Linked DNA regions of Pelodiscus sinensis. The protein of the gene in region 2 interacts with the protein of the main gene of each other region in a biochemical or structural test. Links are inferred from orthologs where the notes say so. Each region holds a gene or a part of one and is shown on either strand. Other genes may lie near its edges.

The links. The genes of interacting proteins can lie anywhere in the genome.
Region 1: the proteins of MIS18A (region 2) and OIP5 form a complex in vitro, tested with the Homo sapiens proteins (3 studies listed by BioGRID). The link is inferred for Pelodiscus sinensis from reciprocal best matches to the Homo sapiens genes MIS18A and OIP5.

The regions. Positions count from the first base shown.
Region 1 is NC_134714.1:64,300,293-64,307,683, reverse strand, and holds the start of OIP5 (protein Mis18-beta), read left to right. Parts: upstream 1-4,334; 5' UTR 4,335-4,352; coding exon 4,353-4,656; intron 4,657-5,537; coding exon 5,538-5,604; intron 5,605-7,391. Other genes in the region: NUSAP1 (nucleolar and spindle-associated protein 1), read right to left, coding at 3,758-3,850. UniProt on the Homo sapiens protein: Required for recruitment of CENPA to centromeres and normal chromosome segregation during mitosis.
Region 2 is NC_134711.1:182,550,180-182,557,908, forward strand, and holds the start of MIS18A (protein Mis18-alpha), read right to left. Parts: upstream 3,023-7,729; 5' UTR 2,931-3,022; coding exon 2,723-2,930; intron 2,592-2,722; coding exon 2,525-2,591; intron 1,169-2,524; coding exon 1,046-1,168; intron 1-1,045. Other genes in the region: MRAP (melanocortin-2 receptor accessory protein), read left to right, coding at 7,064-7,169. UniProt on the Homo sapiens protein: Required for recruitment of CENPA to centromeres and normal chromosome segregation during mitosis.

The DNA.
Region 1 (7,391 bases), on a different chromosome or scaffold from region 2:
GCCTTTGACAAGATTCATCACCAAGGCTCTTGAGCAAACTAAGCAGTCATGGAATAAGAGGAAAGCGCCTCATGAACTGATTAAAAGAGGGGAAAAAAGGGGGAGTAATAAATGGTCAGTTTTCAGGGAAAAATAGTGATATTCCCCAGCCAGTGTTCCCTGTAAGCTGAGTGCTGGGATGGTCACCTCAGAGATTCAGATGCTGTCCTGCTGATTAGTAGAGCATCTACAGCTGCCCACAGCCAGCAGCATATGTTTCTACTGTGGATGTTCACATCCACACGTCTCAGTGCACATACAATTTATTCTACTCATGGATTGAAAAAAAATTTAGAAGGAACACTGCCCCCAAGGATCCATACAGACATTAGTGTTCAACATATTCATGAATAATCAGGAAAAAGTAGTAAAAAAGAAATTAGCAAAGTTTGCAGATACAAAATTACTCAAGTGAGCTAAGTCCAAAGCAGTGGCAAAGAGTTACAAAGGGATCTTTCAAAACAGGATGATGAGGCAATAAATTACATGTGATAATCAATGTTGATAAATGCAAAGCAATGCATATTGGAAAACCTAATCCCAATTACATATACAAAATGATAGGGTCTCAACTAGCTGTTACCACTTAAGGAAAAGATCTTGGCACTGTTGTGGATAGGTCCTGAAAACACCTACTCGATGTCTTAGCTTTTTCACTGCAGCTGCAATGTTAAGAATCATTAAAAAAGGGTTAGGCAATAAATAGTAAATATCATGCCACTGTATAAATCCATGGTATGACACTGACTATTTCATGCAGTTCTGTTACCCCTCACTTACAAAATATATTGGAAATGGAAAAGGTAGACTAGAGTACTACAAAAATGATTAACGTTGTGGAACAGCTTCCATATGAGGTTAAAAAAAGACTAGGATGTTTCAGCTTGAGAAAAAAAAGATAACTAGGTGAGGCTCTGAGAAAGGTCTATGAATGGTGCGATGAAAGTTTATATAACCCATTCACATAAACACATGAACCAACAGTCACCCAATTAAATTAACAGGCACCACTTTTACACCAACACACATTGTACCTCCAAACTCTGGCACTCCCTGGTCCAGCAACATCTCTGGTCCAGCAGGATCATGGATACTCCTGGACCAGAGAGCCCAGGAGCCTAAGGGCAGAAGGGCCAGCCTCCTGGGAACAGCACAGGACTGGAACCCCAATGCTGCATCCAGCAGCCCCTGGGAATGTGAGTCTGAGGCCAGAGCACCATGGCAGTGCAGGGTCAGAGTCCACGCAACAAACTCCAGGAGCACAGGGCTGGGCCTGGAGCCCCGCAGTTTACCCTGGCGGTGCAGAGTCCAACAGCTTCCCCCAGCTGCACAGGACTGGGGCTGAAGGTGCATGATCAGAGCCCCGCAACTTCCCTCATGTATGCAGGGCCAGAGTCGGAGCTCCAGCCCCGCAGCTGCCCTTGGCTGCGCAGTACCAGAGCTGCACAGCAGGAGCCTATGCCACCTAAGCAGCCAGCAGTAGCTGGGCAAGCAGCCCACCCATATTGGGGGTGGGGTGGGTGGACGAGGCAGGGTTGCCTGCCGGGGCATCCTGCCAGTAGCAGGTGACGGGCTTGGGGGCTGGAGATCTCCCCTAGTCTGGCAAATTCTCTTGTTTGGGACCAGTCAGGCTCCCACAATGCTGGACCAGGGAGGTCCAACCTGTATACGCAACTACTACACACAACGCACAGTCAACCTATGTAACTTTTCACCAGAAGAGGTCATAAAGACCAAAAGTATAACTGAGTTAAAAAATAAGGTGACAATGGATGAAAGGTCCATCAATTGTTATTAGCCAATATAGTCAGGGACACTTCATGCATTGGGCATTCTTAAGCCTCTACCTGCCAAAAGCTTGGCTAGGGCAGGGGATGGATCACTTGAGAATCACCCTATTCTGTTCATTGCCTCTGAAGCATCTGGTATTAGCCACCATAAGAAGACAAAAAAAAACAGAGTCCTGTGGCACCTTGCAGACTAATAGATTTATTTGGGCATAAGCTTTCATGGGCAAAACCCCACTTTGTCAGTTGCATTGATGAAGTAGTTTTTTGCCCAGTGTAGTCCCCTTACTAAAGGTAACTGACTTCTTCCAGGAGGATCGTGTGTGCTGCATTCTAGCCCTAGAGACTAACTCGCATGAGTCCTTGAGGAAACCAGGAACAGCTACATTCTAGGACTGAAAGTCTGCGGTGCTTAGATCTAGCAGGCTGCTGATTGCCCTAGCGGGAAGAGACTCTGGCTGCACCTGTGGCTGAGGAGGACTACACAAAAACCAGCACACAGAAGGAGGCTGCAAGTAAATAGGTTCTTTGAGAAAGTGCTGCCTAGGACAGACCTCAGAGATATAGGCTAACTCTGGGTCCAAAGAGAGGCAGAGTATCCAGCCCAGGGAACCAGAACTGCTGGCATTTGGTGGCACTTACTCCAGTAGCAGAGCGAGTTTGCAGCTGGCTACACAGCTTGGACTAGCACACACCCTACAGCAGTGTTTCTTAAACTGTATTCTGCGGCACACGGATGGGCCACAAGGCAATCGGAGGTGTGTCTCATAGAACAACAGAGTTCAAAATGGCCACCCTTAAAGGGGCAAACAACCTTTGGGGGGGGGGGGGGGAGGCTCAAAAAAATAATTGGTGTTCCTCAAAAAAAAATTATTGTTTGGTGTTCCCCAGTCTTAAAAAGTTTAAGAAACAATGCCCTACAGAGAACTTCCACTCCAGCTGCAGATCTTCAAGCACACACACACAAGCATCTGGGACTCTGAGTTCAGAGGAGTGCACACTCGAGGGTGGGATAAATCATGGCAGTGCAAATGCCAGATAGATAAATTCCTATCATTTCTGTGTACTTTGTTAATATTATTCACTGTTAATTTGTTAAACCCTGTTACTTTAAGTTGTTAAGTAAAGGTGCGTTCATTCAAATGTAATCAATTAGATGTATATTATTTATAATTTGTAATTGTTGTATTGGAATTAGACCCAGATTAATGCTGAAATAATTTTATTCCTGGAGGCTCCCAAGGCATACCATGAAGTGTGTACAGGGCCAGACAGTGTGTACACTGCCATTACATATTCTTTATGAGCCAGGGACTGCAGCAAGGGGGTGGAGAGGAAATCCCCAACTAACCATCACCACCACCAGGGTGCTCAGGAACTCTTTTTATGTTAAAACCATCAGGCACACCTGTGAGTGTGACCTGCTCCCAAGTAACCCGAGAAGGAAAAGAGGGGTTACACCAGGAAAGCTCACACCCAAATAAATCTGTTAGTGTTTAAGATGCCACAGGACACCCCCTTGTTTGAGGGCACAGACTAACACAGTTGCCCCTGAGACTGGTCAGTAAACAGGCTACTGAGCTAGCCAGACTCTTTGCCTTAAGAAGTTCACATGGACGCTTTGGGGCTGCGATCCCAACGCTGCTCCCTGTAAGTCTGACTCTGGAAGCCATAACGTGGTGACCACGACACTTGCGCCCTGTCCCTGCCCGGGCCGCCCGATAACTGGAGCACGGCGGGGACAGGGGCCCGGGAGTCCCCACGCCCAACCACAGAAGCGTCAGCCCCGCAGCTCTTCCACCCCCCGCTATCGCCTTTACTCGGTATCATCCCCACCTGCGCCAGAGAGGAGACCCGGCCCCGCAGCCGCCTGTCCCGTCCCCTCTCTGCTGGGTCCCCCCAGCTCCCCGGCCGAGGCGCCACCACCTCACCTTCAGGTTGGCCCGGAGGCCGGCGGCTTTGGCCAGCTGCTGCAGCTCGCTGTACTTGAGCGACTCCAGTTGCTGCAGCGAGGGCAGCTCCATGGCAGCAAAACAACGGGAACCAGCAACCGATCTGCGAGCGCCGCCGCCCGGGATAACGGCCGTGCCGAGGCTTCAAATCCCGCGCGCAACTGACGCCAAAAAGCAAGCTGCTATGTCCCACCCTCAGCATTCGAACTCGCCCTTCGCGCCCTGTCATTGGCTGGACAACCTATCAGTGGGCGTGGCTGCGACCCACAGACAGCCAATGGCATCCTGGAGAACGGGATTTGTATTAGTTTTCCTAACCTGATAAGCACTTGTCTATCAAAATACAGCCGCGCCCCAGCCCAACTCGCTCTCTGATTGGGAAGTAGAATGATTGGTCTTCTCCCCACCATCCAATGGTCGGAGTTAACGAGTCCCGTCTTGCGAGCGCCTGGTGAAGTGATTGATGTGTGTGCCACCCAATCGGATCGCAGAGCTGTAGGTCGCCCTCCAATTGGGATGGCAAGGGGGTGGGCGCTGGTTTCAAACCAGCAGCGCGGATAGCGGGTGAGCGAAGATGGCGGTGCGGAGATGCATCCAGGAGTTGTTTCAGGAGCCTCAGATTGGCGGTGCCATCACCTTCGAGCGGCCGGACGCACTGCGGAGCCGCGGCCGCCCGCCCCAGGCGGACACGGGCAAGCTGCGCGGCGCGGAGCCCCAGCAGGAGCCGTGGAACCCCGGGGCCAGGGCGCTGCTGCGCCGCGGGCTCCGGCTGGAGGATTGTGCCCTGCTCCACTGCCGGAGCTGCCGCGCGGTGCTGGCCGACTCGCTGCACCTCTGCGCCCAGGAGGACCGCTGCCTGCGAGTCCTCGTCTGCTTCAGTGAGTCCCCGCGCGGGCTCCGAAGCGTCTGTGCCTGGGCAGCGGGGCTGCGACTGGAGCCTGGGGCAGGATTCTCTCGCGCTCCCTTGCTCGATGGCCTGGGCTGGGCAGGGCTAGCTTGCACGGGCGCTGGTGCGAGCCTGCGGAGAGGAGTATGGCTGCTGCGGGCCTGGGGATCTAACTGCGGGCCTAGCATCCGTTCCATGGAGAGCGGCGGGTGGGTGAGCTCTGCCCGAGTGAGCTGGTCTCTTGTTTTCGCTGGCCCCTAATGCATGCTCGATGAGCACGAGATGTTTGGAGACTTCATCTAAAGTGACATAAGCGGGCTCTATCTGTTAACACCCGATCCGCTCTACTCGTTTTGCAAGTGAAACTGCAATCCTGCAAGTTCAGTTGGGACGTGAGCGGCTGTATAGCTGCTTCCTTCCCCTCACCTTGCTCCTGGCCAGCGACTGTTCGTTTCATTCCCACTCCGATCTGCCACTGCTTGCCAGTTGTCCCGTTCCTCTTCCTCGTGCACTAATGCAGGATACTCCCACTACCTGAATCTTTAAATAAATACACCTGTTTCGTGCTAGTAGCTGGCTCTGGCAACAAAAATCATTATTGTTCTTATACAAATTAGATATTAGAAAAGATTTGAATCTGGGATTCAGTCAGTCTGCATAAAAAGCACTGGAGGATTTTAATTTTCTATTAGTTCAAACATTTAAATTGATACATTAAAAAATATTTAGTAAGTTTAAAGTAAATATAGCACATAAATGAATCATTCCAAGCCTAAAGATAGGAAGTTTAAAACCTTAGTGTTGGGCACTAGCAGAAATACTGGTGAATGATCAGTGTTGTATAACTACCTATCTATGGGTTTATCTTCCCAGAAGTCACAAATGATGTTGTTTTGGAAGATTCTTTAATGGTCGGTATTGAAGGAGCCCTTCTGGGATGGTAGGTACCTCAGATGTTGCTTCTTGCTTTTAATGTTAGTTTTCAGTTTTTAGATGATCCTACAGCAGAGCAGAAAGGCAATAATGTGTTGCTTCTGAATTTTAGAACTATCTCTGGGCCAGAAGAAAATAAGTTTAGAAAATCCTTCCAACTCCCTCTTAAGAAGAGTCTTACAGAATTGAGAAGTAATTGAGATTGGCTTAGGACCTAACCACTGCTTTTTCAACTAAGAAAGCTTTGTAAATTGATAGCCTCTATTCTCAAGGGAATTCTGCATACTATTCTAAAATTCTGCATATTTTATTACTTAAAGTAGTATAATCACCCTGATTTCAAAAATTTTGGTGATTATATTTAAACTACAGTACAATGGATGAAGACTGGGCTTGGGGAGCATTGGAGGAAACCCCAAATCCCCTCTAATATAGCTAGTTACTAGTCAACAAGAATATGTAGTCATACGCTCATTGTTACATCATAGGCAAATTAAGAGCAAGTGAGGAATGGGGATTCAAACTCCCAATTTATACTGGCTATTGACCATCTCCAGAATGGTCAGTAGCAAACAGTTTATGGACCACATTTTGATAGGAAATCTTTTCAGTCCAAAAATTAAACCAGTTCTAATTACTAAAGTACCATAAGCATTTATAAGACCATACTGTCCTGTACAGTAAGGCCCCTTTACATCACTGGCAATATAAAAGAGCCATAACGTTTTTACACCTGTTTTATACTCCTGGGGGAATTCACTAAGAACAATGGGAAGAACTCACTAAGCAGGAAGGCTGCTACATTCTGCACCTTCTGAAGTTATGGAACCTGCCACACAACTACCTCCTCAGAAGCACCCCAAAGCCAGGCCTCTCCCCACCAGGCATACCACAAGCATAGTGTCTCAAATGCATAACTGTCCAGTCCTGCCTGCCCCAGCAGTGATTTGTATGCATCTATTGGCTGCTCTGAGTTCCCAAACCAATGTGCCTGCACTACTGGCAAGGGACTCATGACTGCTCTTGTGGCTTCCTTTTATTTTCCCCTCAGAAATCACTTTTCTGTAGGGAAGCAAAAGTTTGCCAGGGTCATGAATTCTGTGCTTTGCAGTGACACAACATTTCTCCGGGAATAATTTACCTCTTCACCCTCCCCTCCCCACACAAAACTAGGTTTTTGCCCTATTTACCATTGAGGTGGGGGGAGGAGGAGAAACTTTTGTGTTTAAAAAAAAAAGTGTGTCTAACTGTTAAGCTAGAAAATGTTTTTATATTCTGTCCTAGTGAAAGTAAACAAGTTTTGTTGTTAATTAATTAAACAATCAGTAGAAGCTGGTTCACCTAGCTATGATAATGCTCTTTTTTGGTCTATTTTGGGGTTAATCTACTGTATGTGTATGAGGAAATAAGTTAATCAAAATCCTATAGATAGGAAAGTGGCTATAGTAGAGTATTTGTACCAAGCATGGTTTACAATAGTATTTATTAGAATTGAATTTGAAGCAGGTATTACCACTTTCAAAGTTAAGTAGCTACAACCCCTTGAGCTGTCTACAAACTTGAAGCAGCAGTCCTGTATTTGTATTCTGCTTGGTTGATATTTGCAAGATTTGTCACAATTATAAAGGTTAGAAACCTTTTTTAAAGGAAAGTTTTGTATTCTGTAGAAGGTGATGGAACTTGCCTGGGACTGGCCGTAGGCATCTTGCACAGCCTGTAACTCTTACGCTAATACATAACTTAACAGGTATCTCAAGCCATTCTTATAGACATTTTTAGCTTTTCTCTAATGGG
Region 2 (7,729 bases):
GTTTAGATAGAACAAATTTTACTTAAGATGGATCTGAATCCATTTGCACTTAGTGAGCAATCACAATGGCATCTGTGTGCAGAGTCTTTCAAATGAGACTGGAAGTAGAGGCACCTTCTGGTTGCGTTGGGCACCTAGTGTAATTTTATACACTTGTGAGTTTTATTATATAAAAGAACACCCAAGAATATGTAAATATCAGGTATTGGGCAACATTATACATGGAATATTTTCACAACCTTAGTCCTGTGGTAAGGGAGACATTAACACGGGGTGGGCAATAGATGAGGGGCCATTCCAAAAACTTGGGAAGTGGTCAAGAGCTGCACTTTTCTATGTTAATCGAGGGAGTGTGGGATCTGGGATGGAGGTTGAGTGAAGGAGGGAGGGTGGAGTGAGGGACTGGAGTGTAGGAGGGGGTTCAGAAAGTTAGGATTGTGACCAGGGCAGAAAGTTGGGGGGAGGAAGGGGACAGGGTGCCAGGTGCAGGTTCTAACGAGGAGGCACTTACCCTAGGTGACTCCCAGCTAACAGCCTAGCAAGACTTGCATGTGATCCAAGTAGCCAGCAGCTTTAAGTAGGCATCTCTGCATTACACACCTCTTGGGGAAGGGGAAACTTCACACATTTCTAGCCAATTGGAGCTACAAGACTCTGCTGAGGTGCGGGCAGTGAATGAAGCCTCCATGCCCCGACATGGGGCCCTTGGTGCTGTGATGTACAAGCACCAACAGCTGGCCACTTTGAAAGGCACATGGGGGTATAGCAGGCACGGTGCCTATTCAAGGATCAAGACATTGGCGACAGCCCATATTTTGCCTGCTCCACAATACAGAATACTGTTCTTGAACAAAAGGAGATTAGAGGAGTAATCCATAACCTTTCCCAAATACCCTCCCACATACTCACCTTAATACAAGCTTAATAATAAATATCTGATTGCTAAAAGTGTTAAGTAATGAACCCAAACTACCTGGCATTTAATCTAAAAGGCAAAAATCAATTAGCATATTTGACAACTTGAATCATTTGGTCTCATCCTTACCTGTCAATTGAGTCAACACTGAAGCAAAATAAATCTCGCTTATAGTCAAGATGTTTTGGGGTGCATCTGTAGATGTTCCCAAGGGTCATTGAACAGCCAGAGCAGAACAAAGTTTCAATCATGCTATAAGCAAATATATAACCACTTGTTTAGAAAGATGATTTAAATTGATTCCAATTCATTCACTTCTAATCTTACTTCGAAGAGAGTATCCACTACCACTGTGTCAGTAAATCACATTAGGAAAAAAGAGTGAAATGTGGTTATGTAATGCAAAAAATTACACATATTCATGTATATCTGTTTCATTTCATTCTATGAATCAGTATAGTCATGTTAGTCTGCAACTGCAGCATAATGAAAAATGTTTCAAATATGGCAGCTATATCAACACCTGAACTTCAGGCTTTAAGCCAACAAGGCCAATGCATCAGCACACACACATTTTACCATGCATTTGACAAAGTGGTTTGCCCCAATAAATCAGTTAGCCTTTAAGGTGCCACAGGATTCCTCATTTGTTTTACTCATTCCAAATATATAACCCTTGAACCCTATGCATGATCTTAGCAAGGTAAATTACTCAGCTATACAGCAGAATACTTTAGCCTATACTAGATAAAATTGACTTCCAAACTAGTATTTGGATTGAAATTTTTGGTAACTCCCTCCCAAGCAGTAACTAAAAGATCCTTATCCTATTTGGGGTTTTATGATTATGAACTGAATAAGTTTTCTTCCATTTTCATTCACCATTTAAGATTTGTGCAGGAGACATTTGAAGTCACATAATAAAACCCTTCTGATTGGGAGCATCGTTTCAGTGGCATGACCAATAGCAGCACCCATGGTGCACCATTACCCGCTGTTTCAAAGCCAGACCTCAAGAAGGTTCAGTCTGTGGCTGGTATCCACTGTGCCTATTCAGGCTGCACCAACCCAAGGGATATGTGCGTACTGAGGAATTGGCTTTGTTTTGCTTAACGAATCAAGTGCTGACTAAGGATGTAACAGAATAACCATTTAAACAGTTAACTGATCACTCTGGTGTTATCGGTACGGGAACGGTTACATGCAGGTTCCTGCCCCACTCTTGGGGAGTCAGCTGCCATCCTGCACCATGGCCTCTGTATCAGGGCTTACACTGCAGGGTGGCAGCCAGCTCCTTAGGAGCAGGGAGCCAGTACATGTCAGGAGCCGGGAGCCAATGCAGGCTGCAGGTGCGTGGAGCTGCTTTGAAGGTTTTCACCCAGTTACCCGCTTTTTAACATCCCTAGTGTTGATATAGCTACGCCATGGGCAACGCCTCCTGCTTCTCCCGTCTCGCGGCCGCCGTGCCCCGGCTGCTCTCCCCTTCCAGCAGTGGGGGAGGCCAGCGGTAGGGGGCTGGGATACTTCGGGCACGCCCCGGTCGTCATTCAGCGGTGCCCGCGACCCTGGATGTCCCGGCTGCCAGGCCCCTCGGCCCTGCCCACTCACCATCCGCACTCGCCGGGCCGGCTGGAGAGCTTCTGCTCCTTCTCTACCGACACGTTGGGGGAGGCGCCTGCAAGAGACAGGCGGGACCAACCGTCACTAACGGCCGCGGGCGGGCGGAGCGGAAGGAACGGGCTCGGAGCCGGCGGGGGCCGGCAGAGATTCGCTTCCCCCGCCAGCCTCGCGCGCGCGGGGACTCACTGCGCAGCAGGACGCAGCCGGTCTCCTCCTCGTTGGCCACCCAGCCCAGCGTGTCCCCCACGGGCCGCTTGCAGCCGGCGCACAGGAACACCATGGGCAGCTCCTCCGGCTCGTCGGGGGCCGCCGTGCCCCGGCTGCTCTCCGCCTCCAGCAGCGACAGCGACGCCTCCAGCCCCGCGCCCGGCGGCACGTATTGCGCGCCCGCCATCCCCCACCTTCAAACCGCCCGCCGCCCGGAAGCGGAAGCGGCGCGCACGAGCGGAGCGCAGAGGGGCAGGGACAAAGAGGAACCCCTGCCGGCGAAGCCCCGCCCCCTTCCCTTGTCTGAGCAGGGCGGGGACGGAGAAGAGCCCCGCCCCTTTCCGGCAGTGGTGGGGGCGGGGCTAAGTTCTCCTGGGTGCCGCGTGTCATATAGGGCCTGTGGCGCGTTTGCCCAGGTGACTGCGCCCCGCGCGCCCCTTGCGGCAGTGGCCCGGCCCGGCCCGGCACTGGCGGGTGGGAGGCGAGGGGAGGGGAGGGGAGGCTGCTGTTGCCCTGCCAGCCTGTTTTCCAGTCTAGGCTGATTTCTGGAACCAGTTTACGGAGACTGTGCCCCACCTGCGCTAGGGCAATCCTGCCACTTCAAGAGCCAAAGAGATCTATCGCCCAGCTGACCATGCCGCGCATGGCCACCCCGCCAGATTGGGCAGGAAGACATTCACCATCATCATCATCAACAACCACCATGGGCTCAACGCCCGTTGGTGTCTGATGCCTCCACTGCTGAGTCACTTAGTTTCTGTAGACTAGCTCCCCACCCATTCTCTGTGCAGTCTGCCTCTCCAAACTGGACTGTCCGTTATGCCGAATACCAGGGTCTTAACTTTTCACTCATTGTTCATTCTGCAGATATGCCCAAATAGCTGTAACTTCCATTGTATAACCTTCTGCAGTAGGTTTTTTTTTTGGCTGTATCTTCCTATATAATTCCTCGTTGGTGACCTTCTGCATCCATCATATTCTCAGTATCTTTCTATAACTCCTCTTGAACGTCAATATCCTTCTCTTTGAATCTTTCATTATCACCCATGTCTCACATCCCTAAACATGCTGCTAAATACACACATTTTCAAGATGCTCAATTCCATTCCTAAGCTAATCGCTTTACTTTTCCAGATCTTATCCATCAACTTCAAACTCGCTCTTGCTTTCGCTACTCTAGTCACTATTTCCTTCTTACAGTCTAGATCATATGTAATATTGCTCCCCAAATATTTGAACTTCTCTACATTCTCTAGTTTGATCCCATCTACACTGATCTTCCTTCCTATTTCTTTATCTCCAAATACCATTGTCTTTGTTTTATCAATATTCATAATCAGTCCATACCGCTTCCCTTCCTCATTTAGCACTTGCACTGTTCTCACTAGTTTCTCTTCATCTTCCTCGATAACTATAACATCCGTGAACCTCAAATTGTTAATTCTCATCCCGTGCACCAATATCCCTTCTACCTCTTTCTTGATCTTGTCCATCACACTCTCTAGGTGTGTGATGAAGATACTCAGCGATATCAGATCTCCTTGTCTCATATTTCTACTCATTCTAAACCAACTTCCCAACTCTCCAGTGCGCTTTTCCAATGCGCTTTTTGCAGTGTGGAGGAGCTTTTGCGCAAGAAGCCTGCGGTCTAGACGTAGCATCACTGGGCAAAACACATAGGCAATGTTTATTCTATTAGCTATGATATGTAGCTGTAGTACTGTAGTGCAGATCTTTCCTACATCAATTTCCCTCCTTAGATGTGTTACCAACCTCAATGGAAGAGTTTTTCCACTGATATACATCAAGGCTTATGTTGACCAAAATGCAGTGATCAGAATATGAATTTTTCATAGTCCTGAGTGATGTAGCGAAGTTGATCTACGTTTATACCAGGCCTTAGACCAAGAGTGGGCAATAATTTTTGATGGGGGGCAGGCACTCCCAAGAATTTGGTAAATAGTCAAGAGATGTACTCTTCCATGATATTAATGGAGGAGGTGTGGGATTGGGCATGGAGGTTATGTGTAGATGGGAGTTTGGGGCAAGGGAATGAAGTGCAGGAGGGGAATGGGATCTGAGAGGGAGTTTAGGTCCAGGGGATTGTGACCTGGGGCGGGGTACTGGGGCGCAGTGTCCAGAAGGAGATATGGGTGCAGGAGAGGATTCTGACCTGAAGGAGAGGTTTTGGAGGGGGGGTGCAGGTTCTGGGAGGGAAATGTGACCTGGAGCAGGAGTGCAGGAGAGCGAGCAGGGATTTGGATTGTGAAAGGGATAGGGAATTGGGGTTGCTAGCTCTGGGAGGGAGTTGTGACCTGGAGGAGGGGTGCAGGAGGTAGTACAGGGTCTGGGAGGGCGTTATCACCTGGGGCAGGGATGCAGGAGGTGTGCAGGGATTTGGGTTGTGACTAGGAGCAGAGGATTTGGGTGGAGGGGCTGGGATGGAGTATGGGTGCAGGAGTGGGAGTGCAAGTGTTTGGATTACATGGCGTAGAGTGAAGGAAGGGGGCATAGGATTGGGGGGAGGCAGGGCTGGAGTGCTGACACAGGCTCTAGCCAGGAGGTGTGTACGTGGGTGGGCTCCCGGCCAGCCTTCCAAGCTCCTGCACGCCGCTTAGAGCCATGTGTATTGCTCTGAACACTGCAAGCCCAGGGGAGTAGTACTTCACATGTAGCCTGTCCTGCAAACAGCTCCCATTGACCAGAAACATGGCAGCTATGAGATTGTGCTGGAGAAGGGGGCAGTGCATGAAACCTCTGCCTGTGCTCACAGCATTCTGAGAAACACACAGGGCAGTTTGTCGGAGCAGGGCAGGCAGGGTTGAGGCTCCTGCTGGCCCGCAGGCCAGATCCAGCCTGCAGGCTGTATTTTGCCTGCCCCTGCCTTAAACCCTGTCTTTTTGAGCACTAAGCACTAAGGTCTCCTCCAGCAAAGCTCACAGCAGGGCCACAGCCAGTTGCAGAAGGTACGGACACTGAGGTCAGCTCTGAGAAGACTCAGCTTATGGGACTTACTATGGTACCCAGTTGTCCATTCCCCTTTGCATATAAACCCAAAGTTATATGACATTTCCCTCCTTCCTTAATGTGAAAGAAGGTATATCAGCCTCTCCCATTCCCCCCTAGAAATTACATAAATTGGGTTACATTCATTATAACAAAAATATGTTTATTAACTAAGAAGACATGTATTTTAAGCAGTTAAAGAAGTGGCAAACAGAACAAAGCAATTACTAAAAATATAATGCAAAATGCATAATCTAAACTAGATTTACTACAGATTTGGTTACGGATAATAATTTCTCACCCAAAATAGTTTTTCAGGTAAAGTCTTTCAGTCAGAGGTGTTCTTTCTGGCCTGTGGCCAGCAATTCTCTCCTCCCCCCCACTCTCTTACACTTTTATTTCCAGATTTCCAGGTTTCTCTTTGGGGTGGGAAGGCAGAAGTAAAACAAGCTGAAGACAATCACTGTTTTCTTTTTTTCCTTACATAAAATTTCCATAAGTCAGGGAAACCTTTGATTCTCCCACCTCCTTTTGGAACAGTTCATAAGAACAAGGAGTTGGTTAGTGTCAGGTGAAGCATTATAGACTCTCTTCCCAGGAAGGCCAAGCCTTTTTACTTTCCAGTGTAGTAGCTGATGAGCCATCAAGTCCATTGTAGCCCCTGATGTGGCAATAGTGGGAATGACCCAGAGCAGCAAATATGAAGTCTAGATACACAGGTCAATATTCTTAACTTCATCTACAAAAATAATACCTGCATACATATGGGATAATCATATTCAGTAAATCATAACCCTTCCAGTGATATCTTACATGAACCATCTTGCATAAAGCATATTTCAGTTCTCATTCTTATAATAAACATTTTCTTAACACATATGGAATGTCATCTCACAATATGTGTCATAGAGTCATTAATTTTTAGCAGAGCTTTTTTCAGTAGGTCAAGAATATCTCTTTCATGCCAAGGGCTTCATTGTTGCTAGTTACTCACTGGGCCTATCAGTTTGGCTTTTGTCCATTCTGTTACTGTTTACTTGGCACTCACGTTAATACAAAGCAGGGTGGGAATTGATAGTATATAATTACCCACCAGCTAGAGAGGATTACATTTGGTGTCTGTCATAGCCTGACTGTCATTTCTGCTAAAAGGTTCTGGTATCTAATCAGTCCTTGGGTTTCAGGATATGAAGACTTCCAGAATGATTTACACAGGCATCAATTATGCAATCTTTATATGAGAACACTGAAGTGTGGTGGAAAATAAAAGATAATTAGAGTGGAGCTCTGAGCTGATTCAAATGCACAATTGAAATGGCTATCAGAACAAACTCATCTGAGTATTATTTGTCTTATGAATATTACTGGGACTATTTGGATCCAGTACCTATAGATGAAAGGAAGTTGAAGGCTAATAAATGTAAGTATCGCATAGTAAGTAGCAGTTGCTGATTTAGTATGTGAAGAGTTTGATAAATAAAATAGGTTGAATAATCTCCCTTAATATCTTCACTGTTGTGTGGCATTCTGTAACATAATGCTATTTACTGGGCTATAGATATGTAATTTGTACAGATGAGCATCTTGAGTTTTTCAACTCAGCACTAATTGGGTTCTATTGTAGGTTAATACTAATACTGCAATATTATTTCATTTACTCTACAATATATACATTTGAGAGAGATTTGTATATTAACCCAGATAACTGGAAAGATAGTAAATTGTTAAAAACAAATCTATGTAAAAGCCTATTTTAAAATGTTTATCAGTAGATTGGTGTATTCCTGTTTGCATGATAGAATAGCAAAATAGCCTTTTGTTACACTATGTAGTTTTTTTTGTCAGTAATGGTTGTTTTTTCATGGAATACCATCCTTGCATTAAAACTGGTGTAAGTTTCTGGAGAAGTTAAATTTTGATTAGCCAGGAACAAGAAGCTGAACACACATACTTTTTAATTTCTTTTATCTCTTGTTCATA